Linked DNA regions of Oryctolagus cuniculus. Each later gene encodes a partner of the first gene's protein in a complex. Links are inferred from orthologs where the notes say so. Each region holds a gene or a part of one and is shown on either strand. Other genes may lie near its edges.

Evidence for each region. Proteins that work in one complex are often made in the same cells at the same time.
Region 2: the proteins of SYT1 (region 1) and SV2A are in contact, whole or in part, in a crystal structure (PDB 4V11), measured with the Homo sapiens proteins. The link is inferred for Oryctolagus cuniculus from reciprocal best matches to the Homo sapiens genes SYT1 and SV2A. Residues at the interface, in NP_001129277.1 of Homo sapiens: Thr291, Lys314, Lys326, Lys327, Lys328, Glu342, Ser343, Phe344, Ser345; in NP_001315603.1 of Homo sapiens: Asp82, Thr84, Glu85, Gly86, His87, Asp88.
Region 3: the proteins of SYT1 (region 1) and CPLX1 are in contact, whole or in part, in a crystal structure (PDB 5W5C), measured with the Rattus norvegicus proteins. The link is inferred for Oryctolagus cuniculus from reciprocal best matches to the Homo sapiens genes SYT1 and CPLX1. Residues at the interface, in NP_001028852.2 of Rattus norvegicus: Glu271, Thr383, Gly384, Glu386, Thr406, Leu407, Gln408, Glu412, Met416; in NP_074055.1 of Rattus norvegicus: Val61, Met62, Gly65, Asp68, Lys69, Tyr70, Lys74.

The regions. Positions count from the first base shown.
Region 1 is NC_091442.1:82,296,990-82,301,949, reverse strand, and holds the end of SYT1 (synaptotagmin-1), read right to left. Parts: intron 3,268-4,960; coding exon 3,061-3,267; 3' UTR 174-3,060; downstream 1-173. UniProt on the Homo sapiens protein: Calcium sensor that participates in triggering neurotransmitter release at the synapse. May have a regulatory role in the membrane interactions during trafficking of synaptic vesicles at the active zone of the synapse.
Region 2 is NC_091438.1:48,033,393-48,039,134, reverse strand, and holds the start of SV2A (synaptic vesicle glycoprotein 2A), read right to left. Parts: upstream 3,793-5,742; 5' UTR 3,558-3,792; intron 3,173-3,557; exon of another isoform or gene 3,017-3,172; intron 1-3,016. UniProt on the Homo sapiens protein: Plays a role in the control of regulated secretion in neural and endocrine cells, enhancing selectively low-frequency neurotransmission.
Region 3 is NC_091433.1:199,042-204,557, forward strand, and holds the start of CPLX1 (complexin-1), read right to left. Parts: upstream 3,793-5,516; 5' UTR 3,637-3,792; intron 2,495-3,636; 5' UTR 2,429-2,494; coding exon 2,398-2,428; intron 1-2,397. UniProt on the Homo sapiens protein: Positively regulates a late step in exocytosis of various cytoplasmic vesicles, such as synaptic vesicles and other secretory vesicles.

The DNA of each region.
Region 1 (4,960 bases):
GTCCCAGGCACTGTTTTCCCTGCAGCCACTCTGTGTCCACAGAAGTGACTCAGAGGCTGGCATCGGGAACAAGTTTTGTTTAACCCACACTACTTCCAACAGTTCCCCCCAGAATCAACAGCTCACTGATGAACCACCAGAACCAGGAAGAAAGGAGTTGAAAGGCAGCATCATCAACAGGAAATAAAACATTTTTATTGAATATCCGTGTAATATGTTAAGTCATTTTTAACAACAATCAGAAAACTACTGTGGAATTCACTACACAAAGAGAAACAAAATTTAAACCACTTCATCAAAAAATGAACGTAAAGTACAGCTAAAGGGGTCGGCTCGCGGGCCTCGAGCCATATGGCAGAAGAAAACACCCTGACATTGCTACAAGATACAGGGAAAACCCACACGTAGAAACACTCAAGCAGGCAATAAATATACACAAAGGCAACTAGGATCTTTCTAGAGCATCAGAATCTAACACTTTACACAGCTTTGTCAGGAAGGGACAAGTGGCTTGTCCGAGAAAGGGTCTTGGTCATCAAGCAGGTTTGGTCGCTGACTTCTGAGGGTGGCATAGTACCAGCGGTTCTATGGTGACAATCCCATGTCTGGCAGTGTTGCAAGAGAATGCATTAGTAGTACTTTAATGCAAGAAATAATGTATATTAGGCAGCCTGAACCTGCTTGTTTTAAAGTGTTGTTTCACTGCGAACAACTTAAAGCTGAATAGAGTGAAATTAAATGCCAGTTTCTGGTATTTAAGGAATTTTCAAAAGTCAATCAATTCCCTTTCTTTGGTAGGGTTTGGTCCTTTGTACTGGAAAGAGTCTCATTTGAATTTCCTGTTCACCTCTATGCTTTGTCTCAAATTATGACTTGTGACTTATTTCTACTGTCTATGTTTCTTTTAAGAAGTAGGGACCATTGACAGAAGAAGGAGATATTTTTCTTTGATCTTTTGTGTCTGTCCCAGCACTAAACCATTCACTGTGACTGGGCTGAAAGGTGGAAGGGTCTGCCTCTTTGATGAGAAAGAATCATGACAAGAATTCTAGTTTTGTTGGGAAACAGCCAAGCCCATGTTCAAAGCCTACCATCAGCCCTTTTTGAATTCTCTTGAATTTTTCAAAAGTAAACATGGCGTGATATCCTAAGGGCCGAACACGAGGCCAAGGCTTGGGTTTCCTCCATTTTGTTTTGGTCTATGTGAATATAAACTTTGACGTTGGAACATCACTACTCTCTGTGGCCTGAAGGTTCACGCGGGTCACAGAAGTGAGTGAGATGAAAGGCCAGATGCACTACACGTACATCGGCTGCCCTTCCACAGGGTGGTTTGTCTGCCGTAGCGGGGGGGTGGGGGAAGAATATGGCATATTGCACAGTGCTTGACAAAGTGCTGTGTGTTCCACCCCGCTCTATGTCTCTTTCTTGTCCTCTGCATAGCTTTTCCGTTGCAGATTGGTCCTTTGTAATGAGAACTGTTTGTGCTACACACACCTTGGGCAGTGCAGTAGAGGGAATGGCAGTATTGTTACATTATCACTAAGGAGTAAGTTGAGTGCTATCCACTGAGGAAACTACGTGTCTAAGCACACAGGGCAGTCACAGTGTTACACAGAGCAGTCCTTAAGACGCTTATGGAATGACTAGTAGCTTCTTAATAGTGCCATGTACTACAGAATAACATGGAAAACATTTAAAAACGCCTCCTAAATCAAGCATCTAGTATACATAAGAGGTTGCTTCAGGGTTCTAGAACTTGTTCTTGGTTTTGTTTCACCTTGTTAAAGGACAAATTAAAACTTATTGAAGTAAAAAGAGTATATAAAAAGATCACTAGCTGTCTGTTTTGGCTTAATTGAAGTGCATTCAGAACTATGGCTAAATTTATTTTTCATCTTTAGACGGGATTACAATACTGTCTGTTTACCACAAAGTAGTTTTGTGTAATAAGCACAGATTGCTGTGTTAAAAATATTCTGCATTCCTTCTAGTCTGGATTTGTATAATAAAATATTTTGTTACAAAGTCTAATGTGCAAATCTTTTGGAATTATTATAGGAGTGAAATCTGGAACAGAACCCGCAGGATGTACATTTTGTATAAAGGTGATAACGGAGAGCTGCTTTTTTCTTTTTAATAGTCAGGCAACATTTCAGAAATGCTGACTTTTCTTTTTAGCTTCTTCTCCCGCTCACCCATCCCTCATTTCCCCATCAAAAATGCACCCCCCCCACCTCCCACCCCAACACCCGTCCACACTGAACACTACATAGTGTCACTGGAGATGCAGTGACGTGAGCTCACTGACTCCTGTCCAGTTGCCTCCTCAGATGTCAGCGTGAAGCCGTGATCGTAGCTTTACTCACAGGTATGGACAGATGCTACTCTGGTTCGTGGCTATGCTTCCTTGAGGTCTGCCAAAATGCTGCTCAGATCATGCTGTTTTGCCTGTGAAGGGATTTTACAAAACTGGAGTCACCCACCAAATAGGTGGCATAAGCGGATCTTGGTACTCAAATGACTCAATAGAAAGCTCAGGTTTAAGTTGTCCTTTAAGATGTCCGTTTAACTGTACTAGTGCCTTACAAGTTGATATTTTTGCTGGAATGCAGACGATACTATATTTACCATATAATATATTATCAGCTCTCCTATATCTCAGTCCATTTACATAGTTTAAAATAGAACATCTTATTAAAAACATCTAGATATACACAGATTAGGAAACGCTTACAACATACAAATACACAAACTAGAAATGAATCTTGAGCATACTGGTATATACAACAGTGTGATACAATAAATAATTTCCGTCATGCTCTATCTACACATCATATTGCTTAAAAGAAGATTAGATTTGGAGGGCAGTGGTATGATGAAGGGCTTAGGGGCTCTCTACACTTAAATTTGTGCAAATTAAAACAGGAGTTGAAGTACCACTGAATCGTGTTGGGAATGCATGGCTGGGAAAATGAAAGGACCCCTATTACTGAGGTATTTACAGATACTGGCTAAAGAGCACTATGTGGGCAAATGCAGAAAGGTTGCTTCTTTCCTTTACTTCTTGACGGCCAGCATGGCATCAACCTCCTCCTCCACCTGAAGGGTGTGCCACTGGGCGATGGGTCGCCTGGGGTTGGCCAGCATGTCTGACCAGTGTCGCAGCTCCGCACCAGTGCTGTTGTAGCCCACAAACACTTTGCCGATGGCATCGTTCTTGCCAATCTTGTCATAGTCCAAAACAGTTACCACCACTTGCACTTTCTGAAAGAGGATGAACAATAAATGTTAATCACCTAGACAGACAGATAAATCCCTGTTATAACACTTCCTTAAGATCTAAAGAAGGGACGGCGCTGTGGCACAGCAAGTTCTTGCCCTGGCCTGCAGCGCCAGCATCCTACATGGGCACCGGTTCGAGTCCCAGCTGCTCCACTTCTGATTCAGCTCCCTGCTGAAGCACCTGGGAAGGCCGTGGAAGATGGCCCAAGTCCTGGGACCCCTGCACCCACATGAGTATCTTGTAGAAGTTCCTGGCTTCTGGCTTCGGATCAGCTCAGCTCTGGCTGTTTAGGCCATTTGGGGAGTGAACCAGCAGATGGAAGACCTCTCTCTCTTTCTTGCTCTCTCTCTCTCTATGTAACTCTGTCTTTCAAATACATAAAATAAATATTTAAAAAACCCTAAAGAATTGGAAATAAGAAGAATGAATTTCCAGTCACCAGGAAGAGGATGAAAATGAGTTGAACATGAAAACCTGTGTTCAGGGGCCAGCACTGTGGCATAGTGAGTTAAGCTGCCACCTATGACAATGCCAGCACCTCCTGTGAATCCCGGATGCTCCATTTCCAATCTGTCTCCTTTCTGATGAAATGGGAAAGCAGTAGCAGATGACCCCAAGTGTTTTGGTCCCTTACACCCATGCGGGAGACCCAGATAAAATTCTAGGATCTTGGCTTTGGCCTGGCCACGAGGGCCATTGTGGCCTTTTGTGAAGTGAATTCTTTCTCCTCCTCTCTCTGTGTAACTCTGTCTTTCAAATAAAATAAATCTTTAAGAAAAAGAAAACTTGGCTCTGGTCTTAGTTTTTCCATTACTATATCATCATTGTCACTATCTTCACCATCAGAACCCTTAAATGCTAATTTGTGTTACATATTTTGCATTCGTCTGAGTCTCATATAGGAACTAACTCAGTCCTCACAGTAGATCCCATTAATATTGCTATTATACAAAAATGGATGCTTGAAGCTCAGAGAAGTTACATAACCTGTCAGAGACGGCATAAGAAATGAGTGGTTTGGTTGCCAGAGCCTCTGCTACAAAGCACTAGGCCATGCTTCCTGTGGAAACGTGTTCATCTCTAAATCCGCTCATCTCAGTTGTTATCATCAGTGACGGTTTTCCCATTGGTACTCAGGCCGTTCTCTCTTTGGTTGCATTTCTCAAAGCAACCTTGTGCTATACTCCCATTTCAGGAGGGGAAACAGCCAGTATTTTTCATAAAACTAATATAGAATATCGGCCATTGGAGGGTGAACCAACGGCAAAGGAAGACCTTTCTCTCTCTGTCTCTCTCTCACTGTCCACTCTGCCTGTCAAAAAAAAAAAAAAAAAACAAACAAACAAACAAACAAAAAAAAACTAATATAGAATTTGAGCTAAGCTTACAAGGGTAAAATGTGATAATACAGTGAAAGTCTTTAGTAACTAAATCATGATATCTTTGTCTCTCAATTAGCATTTATTAACTATTGTGTATCTGACATTGACATTAAATGGAAATAACCTTGTAGACTACATGGGATTTACTTCAATGATTTCCTTAGATTCTGAGGGCTTATTTAACAACTTACTGTTTTCTTTTTTTTTTTTTTTTTTTTTTGATAGGCAGAGTGGACAGTGAGAGAGAGAGACAGAGAGAGAAAGGTCTTCCTTTGCCGTTGGTTCACCCTCC
Region 2 (5,742 bases), on another chromosome or scaffold:
CCCGGTTCAGACCCCTTGCCTTACTACCGATCTGCAAAGAACAAAACAGAAAACACGAGGAACCAGAATTCCCTGTGCTATTCTGGTCTGGGCTGCTTGCTGGGGGCAGAGCTTGAGGAAGAGGAGTAGGAGAAGAAGGCCTCCTACTGTTGTCTTCAGTCCACAGTGGGCATCTGAAGGTTGGACTTTCATGGCCTTTGCTTACACGTGTGTAAGCCTCCCACTGAGGGGTCTCCTCCCAGCATAGCCAAGTGGGTAAGAGCCCGGCACACCTGGCCAGGCAGGCTTGGGTTTAGCACTTAGCAGCTAAGTGACCACAGGCATGCTTCTGAGCATGCAAGCCTCAGTTTCCTCTTATTTAGAAAGGGGAAAGTAAGGCTTAAGTGACACAATGCAATAAACTCCTTACCACAGAGCCTGGCACGTAGAAAGCAAGGAATAAATAGTGGCTATTGCCGGTTGGTGATGGCAATGGAGTGACATGCCCCGTCCTCCGCCACAAGGACCAAAACACAAGCTGTCACTGGATGCCCTTTAAGGGCAGCCACAGAGGGTACCAGCACTGAGGCAGGCAATGGTGGAACAGTGAGTTAAGCTACCCTTCGGGAGCCAGCATCCCATATAGGGGTGCTGGTTTGAGTACTGGTTCCTTGGCTTCTGATCCAGCTTCCTGCTAAAGCACCTGGGAAGGTAGCAGATGATGGCCCAGGTTCTTGGGTCCCTGCTGCCCATGTTAGAGACCTGGATTGAGTTCTTGTCACCTGGCTTCCACCTGGCCCAATCCTGGCTGTTGTAGACATTTGGGAAGTGAACCAACAGATGGAACAGATGGAAGATCGATCTCTCTCTCTCCTCTCTCTCTCTCTCTCTCTCTCTCTCCCCTCTAACTATATGATCAAACGCATTTGTTTCCATCATGAGAACCTGAGGTCTATGGTTGTACTTCATTCCTCCAGGGCCTCCCTCCTTAATCCTCCTTAATCCTTTCTGCTCCTTCTCCAGGAGTCAAGGAAAAGGAGTCCACAAATACTGCATTGCGTAGGAGGCTGGCGTACAGCTAAGGGGGCCTTGGGCCTCCTTGGACGAGACACCTTTCAGGAGAAGGCTTGGGATAACCCTCCCTTCCTTCGTAGAAGAGAGGAAGCAGGCCCAGATTCCAATCAGAGATCACAGCCCTAGAATTATCCTGCCTCCTTCTGCCCACCCAGGGCCTTCATTCAGTCTCTCTCTCTCTCACAGACACACACACACACACACACACACACACGCACCCGGCTCCCTAGCAGAGGGTAAGTAATGCTATGTGGTTCCAGAGAGAAGCACTGGCAAGCAGAGCCTTCCCCCCTCAGGACAAATGTAAGCACTGGACCACGGTACCCAGAGCAGTGACCCCCACATCACCTTCCTTCCTCCAGGGTTCAGGGCCCTACCATCCCCCACGAAAGACAGGGAGCTGGGGGATCCCCCCAGTGTGTGACAATTCACTGGCCTTCCCTCTCTTCCCCACCAAGATCGCCCCTCAAACCCCGAGGGAGGCAGAGGGACCACCAGGAGCCGGCCCTGTTCCTGCTGACACTGAGAGTCCTGGCGGCGACGCCCGCCCCGCGGCTCCCCCAGGGCCCACCCGGCCAGGAGGCAGAGAAAGGAGACACATTCTCTGAGCTGGTGAGGCAGTCATGCTATTTTTAGCCCCCAAAGCAGCACAGGGTGGCTGAGCCTTGTGGGAGAGAGACAAGACTTGGGGAGGCAGAGGTTGGAGGAGAGGAGACTCAGGGTTGCACAGCCCTTTAAGGCTGACTGGCTTCACCTGACCGGAAAAACGTGCCCAGGAGATTTTCTGCAGAGGGCAGAAGGGGGCAGCGACTCCTGGGCAAACACTTCCTTTCAGGACAACCTGCCCAGCCCTGGGTAAGGGGGTCCAGAGCCCCCACTGCCCAGTCAAAGCCCCTGACTTAGAGGGCCATCCAGACCTTGTCACCCAGTCCCCTCCAGCCCCAGGGACAAGGTCAGTAGGAAGCAGCCACTTATCAAATGCAAGGGTGGCATGGGGGGGGGGTAGAAGGTGCTGGAGCCCCCTCCCAACTGCAACTGGGTGACTGGGCTTCAGCCCCTACCCAAAGAACAAGACTGCGTCTCTCTTGCCCACAGCCTACCCCAGGGGCTAGGAAAAGGGGAGCATCCACAGCCTGAGAGAAAAAAAATGAAGGTGTCAGCTGAGAAAGCACAGGAGGAATGCACACGGGGAGGCAGGCAGAGGGGCAGGGATGCGGGAGACCCCCCCCTCCCCGGGCAGGGGCACAGACACAGCCTCTGCGCTGACCCCCCACCCCACCCCCACTGCGCCCATCTCCTCAGCTCTGGTACAAAGGATGAGCCCCTATAACCCACAGAATTGCTCCTCTGAGCACCTGTGCACCCTGGGGCTGCTCTGGACAAGTGCCCACTGTCACTCAACCCCCCTCCCCCACCCCATCCGTGCCCCCAACACCTGGTCTGTTCCATCTCTGCCCCCCCCAGTGGGGCTTTCTTCGGCCCCCTTCCCTCCATGCCCCCACCCAGCCTGGTCCAGGCCAGCTGACCAAGGCAGCATCCATTCCCTGGCCCCAGCCAAGGTCATTTCTCATTCATGGCTGGGGGCAGAAAGAGGGGAGGATGAGATGAGGGGGGAACTGGAGTTTGAGGGAACCCCACCCCACCTAACAACCCCCCCACCTCACTTATCTTCAGAGGAGGTAGGGACTTGGCGAATGGAGAAAAAATATACCCCTTCCTCCCATTTCGCCATATATATGCACACATAATAAATGTACACATATACGCATACGTTTTTCTATCCTGAACAGCCCAACCTCTGAAATAAACGTCTACCTTCAAACCACCCCCCACCCCACCCTTGGAGCGGGGACTGTCACCCTCCCCGTTAGCAAAGCATCCGAGGGTAAAATGGCTGCAAGGCAAGGCAAGGATGCTTCTGGCAGGGCGGGGTGGAGATGAGAGGCTGCGAGCAGGGTCTCACCTGGGCTGGGCTACCCCGGCCAGCTGGTCCCGGGAGAGGGCGGGGGTCCGGGCGGCGGGCTGAGGCGGCAGCGGCGACTGCTCGGGCACCGGGGGAAGCGGCAATGCAGACCTGCCCCCCCCCCCGGCCCCGCCTCCGCGCCCCCCCCCTCCCCGCGCCACTGAGCGGCGGGAGAGACCATTGTTGGGGGGGCGAAGCAAAGAGGATGGAGGGACCCAGGGCACCGTGGAGAAAGATGAGGGGCTAGAGGAGACTGTCGCGGCTACAGCAGAAAATGCCCAACAGCCCTTCGCAGCCCCTTCCCAGTCAACCCTGAAGTAAGGAAAGACAGAAATCGTGACGCCAACAAGAGGAGCGCACAGACAGGGAGGTGGGGGAGAAGGCAGCCCCTTCCTGGGCACCCCCGACCCAGTGTGGCAGAACCCACGAGGGTCAGGGGCTCTTGCTCTCTGCAAAACGCCCGCCTTCCACGGGCTCCACGGCTCCTAGGCAAACCCCTTTCCCACAGCCTCCTCCCCTAAGGAGAGTGCTCCACCTTTACCTGGGTGTTTAGGAGATGGCGGGGCTAACAAGGTGTGGCTTTCATCGCGCACAGCCGGAGGCCAAGCCTGCTGGAGCCCTGCCAGCTCTCCTTCAGCCCGCTCCTCCGGGCACTGGGTGCAGCAGGGATGGGGACTGCAGAAGCGAAGGGGCTTTTTGCAGATCTGGCAGTGAGTGCCCCTGCCATTCATGCTCCAAGGACTTAAACAGGAGCCCCCACAAAGCCCTTCTCCTCTTTGCTTCACTCCCTCCCTCCATCATAGCCCGGCCTCTCTATCTCTCACTCTCACTCTCACTCTCACTCCCCCCCCCCCCCCCGCCACCCACTTGCAGGCAGACAGGCGTGAATTGGTTTCAGTTCTATCTTTCCTTTGTCCCTGTACCAATAAACTGGACATACTACTTGGTGACACTGGGGGACCACGGCTACTCCGGGGACAATGAGAGGCTACAGGGGTGGTTTGGGGCTGTACATCCTGAGCGAGCCTATTGCAGGCAGGGCCTTGGCATAGGCTGGCCTGACCTGGGTTCTCACTTCTAACAAGCTGTCAGCTCTTGGTCAAGTTCTCTACTTTTTTTTTTTCCTATAGCTTTTTAGTTTATATCATTTTAATTTTTAAAAATGTATTTTTCATTTTATTTGAAAAACATAAGGACAGAGAAGGAAAGGGGGGGGGGGGTCTCCCATCTGCTGGTTCACTCTCCAAACGCCTGTCAACATCTAGGGCTCAGCCAGGCCAAAGCCAGGAGCCTAGAACTCAATCTGGGTCTCCCACATGGGTGACCCAAGTACTTGAGCCATCATCTGTTGCCTCCCACAGTGCACATTAGCTGGAAACTGGATTACAAGTCAAGTAGCTGGGACTCAACCAGGCATCCCAATATGGGATGCACACATCCCAAGTGGTGGCTTAACCCTTGTGCCAAATGCACCGGTTCCAAGCTCTCTAACTTCTGCGAAACTCAGTTTTCTTATCTGGGAAGTGGAGAGGTTGGGCTGGATGCTTCATCCGATCCTTTTCACATCTAACAGTATGTGATCCTCATTCCATGCGGAAGTTTCAGAGTGCTGGGATATATGACGTGGAAAAGGTTCACAGGCTGTGTCCCAAGGGATCTCACGGGGGGCATCTGCCATGTTGAATTTACCACTGAGAGAGATGCAGGCCTACGTTTTATAGGCTCCAAAGCTGGGTCTCGGAAATACTCATGTGTGCGAACAAAATTCACCATTTACTAAAATGTAAAGCCACAACATGGATTAGCCCACCATGAAAATTTTACTGTCAACCAGACTGAAAATTCATGTCTATGTGTCTTTTCTCCTTGAAGCCAAATCAGAATGACAATGTCAATGTATAAATGCCCCGACGACAGAACTGGAGTATCTGTATCTTTAATGGCATCTCGCCATCCCCTGCAGGGTCTTAGTCCACCCAAACAAGGATGGACTGGGTCCGAAGAAAGCTAAGTGTGCCGCTCGCCGGTTCCCCAGCCCTACCCCCCCATCCCGGGGTCAGTCAGACGCAGCAGGGAGTCAAGTCAAGTAAGCAAGAACTCATTTATTGCATGCGTAGCAATGCCTTTTAAAACAAGACCGCAGGATTACTGGGGCAGGGCATAAGGACCAACCAATTACTTAAAAAGTCATTTTACAGGGCGACTTTTTACAGGACCACCCATATGTCTGTACACTGGTCATCAGTTGTCGTCACCTCCCATGATGCTGCACGGCCAATCAGCTTTGGTGGTAAACGACTCCAGTCCAGACCTCCCCATCAAGCCCGCCCTCAGAATCGCTGTCTACCTTCTCGACTTTGGATACTGCCCACCTTTGAATTGCCTCGTGTGCCTAATTTCCCCACAATCCCCAAATGCCAACGGGTCCAGAAAACTTCCTGGCAACAACTCTATATCCTCACCTCCGTGCTGCAGGCAGCCTTGCCAATGCTCCTGGACCTCTATAAAATTATGGCTAAAGCGCGCTTTCCAGGGTGGTACTTGGTACTTGCAATGGCTCTGCCCACTGGGCCTCAGGGACTCTGCCTTTACTAGGCTTTCCTTGCTGGCCCTTGAGGTTGATACATTCTTTATTTAAATGTTAATATTGCAATTAGGTTATAGCCAAGTCCTGCAAGGAGGGAGCCATTTCTCCTCTTCCAGGGGACTTCGCTACTCCCCGTTAT
Region 3 (5,516 bases), on another chromosome or scaffold:
TGATGCCAGCCCTGCCCAGTGGGGCCAGTGGCACTGGCCAGCCTTGCTCAGATCCCTGGGGACACCACGCTGGCCGAGGGAGACCAGCCCGGCAGTCAGTGGCCAGATGTCATACGAACAACCCCAGGACAGGTGCGGGCCGAGGCTGAGCTGTGAGGTCAGAGGTCACAGGTCGGGAAGAGCAGGGCGCCGTCCGGGCAGCAGGCCTCGGGCTGCCCAGGGAGAGCACAGGTGGGGGGTGGACAGGAGGTCAGAGGGAGCCAGGTGAGAGGGCGGCGCCTGAGACGCAGCGCCAGGGCCCCACGGCTGAGCCGGGCACACGGGAGCCTGCCCTGGGCGGGGACCGCGCTCGCCTCTCTGTCCAGCAGCACTGACCCCAAGCCCCGCCCTCGTGCTCCCAGGTGACATCATGGACTCCGTGTCCAGCAGGGTGGCCGAGGGGGACAGGGCAGGGTGGGACCAGCAGCGTCTGCTTCTCACACAGCACCCAGGAGGAAGTCCTGCAGCCTCCTGGACTTCGCCACCGTCCACACCAGGCTCCCTCCAGCTCTCCGCATCGACAGGCCCACAGGCCAGCTGCCTGGACATCGAGGGCCAGGGGCATGCACCCTGCCAGGGAGCCTGCGTGACACCAGCCCGGCACAGGGGCGGCTGTCCGTCTGCTGCAGGTCCCGTGTCCACAGCAGCCACAGCCTCCCACAGCCGTGCCCCAGCACGGCTTGCCTGAGACCCCAGCCGCGCAGACGGGAAGGCCCTGGGCGCTGCCCCCTGCAGGGATGCTGGCAGCCCAGGGAGCTGGAGGGTAAGGGGGCCGCCCTCCCCTCGTGTCTGCTCCGTCTCTGTGAGCGGGTGCACGTGTGTGTACATGTGTGCCTGTGCACGCATGCGTGCTGAGAGGTGAACGTGTGTGTGTGCCCACGGCCGTCCACTGCCTCTCCCTCCTGCATGTCCGTGAGCACGTGCACGTGTGTGCGTGGGCATGCATGTGTGCGGGGGTGCGTGTCTGTCTCCACCCCTGCCTGCCCTGCAGTCACTTTTCTCCCGTGCCTGGGTCTCAGCCGCCACCTTCCCCGGACGCTTTGACCTGTGGAGGCCCGGGGTCTGCCCTTCCTCCACTGCTCCCCGGGACACCCACAGCGCCCGGGCCAGGGTCTCTGTCCCCGCCCCCGCCTGTCCTCCCTGGGTGGCTTCCTGGAGCCTCCCGCTCCCGCTCCCGCTCCCGCTCCTGCCAGGGTCCTGCGTCCAGGCTCTGTCTTTCCCTCAGTGTCTCTGCCGACCTCTGCTGCCTGTCGGTCTGGGGCCTGCCCCTCACCCTCGCCCCCGCCAGAGACCCAGAAACGTCGCCACTGGGAGAGGAAGGCTTCGCCCGGGCTCAAGGACGCCAGACACCGCCCAGCAGCCGCGCTCAGTGTCCAGGCGCCCGGTGTAGCCATCGGAGAGCGGGGCCCCCAGGGGCCACCCCTGGCTGCTCACAGCCACTGCAGGGGCACAAAGAGCGAATCCAGGCTGGCGATTCCCTGGCTAACTTCACCGTGTAGACAGCCACACCAGATACTGCGGTTTCCAGAGGCCCACCTCAGGGCCTGAGCCAGCCGCTGGCCAACTGCCCACAACACGTGTCGTGGAGCCTGGACTCTGCCTGTCCCTGAGCCTGGTCCCGGTGACGTCAGCGCCACAGCGGGACTCAGCCGCAGCCCACCCTGGACCGTGACAGCCCAGGGAGTGCGGCCTGGGCCAGGCTCAGACGTTTCCTGCTGCCTCAGAACAGAGGTCTCCCGTCCTGTCCCCAGCCCAGAGGCACCGGGTCAGACAGAGGCCACCCTGAGCGCCACCCCGGCACAGACGCAGGCATTGGCACAGGCCCCATCCCAGGAGCTGACCCGGGGGAGCTGGGTGCCCAGGACAGGCTGCCCTGTGCAGACCCCACACGCACCCAGACGGCCCCAAAGCCTCGCAACCCCTCAGCCCACTGCCCGCCACCTCCTGGCCAGGGACCCAGCCACGGGTCCAGCATGTGGTCAGGTAGCGGGTGGCACCGCTCTGGTGGACGGGCCTGGGCCCCACAAGCTGCCTGGGCCCCTTCTTTGGCCCGGGTCCTGGGGACAGTGCCACCACCACCTGGGTGAAACCCACCGGGCTTCCCACAGCTCTGTCCGCCTGGAGATGCCGCTGCCGTCAGGCCTGGCTGGGACCTACCCTAGGTCCTCCAACTGAGCTTTGCCCGACTCGCCTGCCCCTGCCTCTCACGGCCCCTTCCCGGGCCTCCTCGCCTCGTCCCCTTGGGGCATCCACAAGGTGTGCGGTGGCCCCTCGCTGCCATAGCGGGTGCATCCGTCTGGACCTGCTCCCCATGGGGCCGCCCCAAGCCCCCTCCCTGGCCCCGGCCCCGCTCCCTACCTCCCAGGGCCTGCTTCATCACGAACTCCATGACGAAGGTCTCAGCGCCTCAGCGAGGGTCAGAATTCACATGCGAGTGTGGCCGCGAGTTCTCCTCCTGGGGGAGAGAGTGGTCAGAGGCCCGGGGGCTCCTCCCTGTCCCCTGCCGGCCTCCCCTGGCAAGGTCTGGGGTCCCGATGCCTCGTGGGCTGGACCCTGCAGGGGAAGGTGGCCGTGGGGAGGGCCCCGAGGTAGGCTGGGGCGCACTGGTCCCTGCACAGGCCAGGGCAGCGGGCCCGATGCCAGCCAGCTCTCAGGCGCCTGCAGGGAGGGGCACGGCTGCAGGAGTCTGGCACAGCCGCAGAGCGGGCGGCCCAGGGGCGTTTGAAGGTGACTGCTCTGCCTTGCAGCTCCTGGGGCTGGGGGGGGGGGTCCTGTGCCTTCCGACCAGGAGCCACTGCGGTGCCAAGCCACGGGGGCGGCCTGGGGGGCAGGCAGGGGCTGGACACCCCCCATCTGCAGGCTTCCTGTGAACCCAGGTGCCGCAGAGCCCCTGTGTGGGAGACCCAGCCCCATGGGTCCCGGGTTGACCTCCTTCCCTCCGCAGAGGAAGGAGACCCCCAGGGGGCGGGGAGGGGGCTGGGCAGGGAACGCCTCCGGCAGGGCTGGCCCCAAGGGCACCTTCGCTGCCGCCCCCTGCTCTGCCCAAGTTCTGCCCGGGCTGAGAGCCCACGGGGACTAAAGACCCAGGCCCGCCGCCTGCCCCGCTGCCGCTCGGCTGTGCGGGCTGGCGAGGCGCCCTGGGCGGAAGCGCGAAGACGAAAGGACAGAGGGAGGCGGGGGCCGGGGGCAGGTCGGCGGGGTGGGGGGGCCGGGGCCGGGGCCGAGACGGAACGGCGGGAAGAGGGGACGGAGGCGGAGGAGAAGGAGCGGGCGCGGGGCCGCTTCAGCACCGCGGCGGGGACAGCGGCCGCCGGGCGGGGAGCGCGGGAGCTCAGCGGACCTGGGCGGGGCCGGGTTGCGGGGCGCCGGGTGCGGGCGCCAGGACCAGAGCAGGGGCCGGGGTGCGAGGTGCGGGGCCGGGGCTCGGGACTGGAGAGCGGGAGAGCCCGGGCTCGCGGCTGCAGCCCGGGTGCGGGGTGCGGGGAGCGGGACCGGCGCTCGGGGCCGGGGTGCACGGAGCGGGGAGCGGGTCCGGCACTCAGGGCCGGGGCCGGGGCCGCGGGGCAGGGGGAGCAGGCCCGGGGCTGGAGCCCTCACCTCCGGGCGTCAGCGCGGCGTGCTCGGGCCGGCCGGGTCCATGTGGCGGCAGCGACTGCGGCGCTGAAGGGCACGGCGGGGAGCGGGACGCGGGGCGCGGGGCGCGGGGCGCGCGCGTCACTTGGGGCCGCCCCCCCGCGTCGGGCGTGACGGGGAGGGCGGGGCCGCGCGGTCGGGGCGGGGGGCGGAGCCAGTGTGCGGTGCGGTGCGGAGCGCTGGCTGCAGACCCTGGCCCCAGCGAGACCCGGACTCCGCCCCCCGCCCCGGCCCTGGCGAGACTCCGACCCCGACGTCGACCTCGCCCCCGCCAGGCCAGGCCCGGGCCCTCCACGGGAACCCGGACACCCCCTGTTCTCGGGGTCCTTGCAGCGCGGGTCTAGGGAGAGGACCCCAGCCCCCAGCGGCCCCCCATTCCCTCGCCCGCAGAGCCGGCTCCGACCCGGGTAGATTCCCGGTATCACTAGGAGAGACCCTTGCCGGCCCTGCCACCTTGACCCCCCCTCAGCCCCAGCCGGGCTGCTTCAGAGGCCTGGACCAGGAACAGCTTCGGTGCAGGCGAGAGAGTGGCCCCTCCTCTCCGCGGGACCTGGTGATGGCCCCACAGTGACCTGCCTTGGACAGCACCACCAGTTACCGCAAGGGTGACCCCTGGGGCCTGTGGCTCACCCCAGTGACCTCACAAGGAGCCTGTGAGGAGGCCCTGGGCAGTGAGCAGCGGCACAGGCCCAGCACGGAGCAGTCCAGGCTGTGGCCTAAACTCCGGGCTAACTCTATGGTCCAGGCCTATGGATGCACACACAGCCTGGAGCCACAGCCTTGCCCGGAGCAGAGAGAGCCCTCTGCCAGCCTGGACTGGGGCCCGTACTTCTCAGCGCCCGCTCTCCCCTCCATCCCTCCCTCCCTCTCTCTCTGACTCTCTGTCTCTCTCGTTCTCATTACTCCGTTTGTGTCCACCCATGCCTTTCTCAGCTCTCAGCTGGGAGTGGGGGCCAGGCAGGACTCAGACCACCCCAGGGGACACAGCGTGGCTGGTGGCAGTCCCGGCAGAGTGGGAGGCAGGCTGGGCACAGCCGCCCAGCCGGAGGCAGAGCCTGGGCCGGGTTGCTGGCAGAGACCTCACCTGGCCACGTGGCCACAGCGGGACAGGGCACAGTCTCTGTGTGGAAGCCAGGATGTTTGACGGGGCCAGCTGGGGCGGCCACAGGGGTTGGGGCTGGAGTTGCACAAGGTCCAGTTGCACAAGGTGAGGTCCAGATGCCGAGCCCCAGCCGAGGGACCCTTGGCCGGCCGCGTGGACCCGGGAGTGGCCCGGTAGGCCAGGAGCTCCAGGAGGGCAAAGCAGGGCCAGGCAAGGACCCCAGGGGCTGGGTTGAAGCCCCGCCCACCCACATGTGCCCAAGCCCTGTGTGGTGGGGTGGGGTCTCGAAGGGCGTCTGTCCCATGGCTCTTGTAGATAGGCCCCACCCCCACCCCAGCAGTGGCACCTGAAGCTGCACCTCTGGAGTGAGACAGCATGTGACGCCCCTGGGGGCAGCCAGCCGGTCCCCATGTGGCTGGTGTCCCAGCCCTGCTGTGCAGCCTCTGGGGCCTGGGAGCTCGGCCTTGGGGCTCCTGGCGCAGAGCTGGCGGCAGAAACAGAGCCCAGGCGCTGTGGCATAGCAGGTTGGGCCTCAGCCTGCGGCACTGGTTCGAGTCCCAGCTGCTGCACTTCCAATCCAGCTCCCTGCTAATGCACCTGGGAAAGCAGTGGAAGATGCCCAGGTGCTTGGGCCCTGCACCCACATGGGAGACCTGGAAGAAGCTCCTGGCTCCTGGCGTTGGCCTGGCCCAGCTTAGAACATTGTGGCCATCCGGGGAGTGAACCAGGCTCGGACGACCAC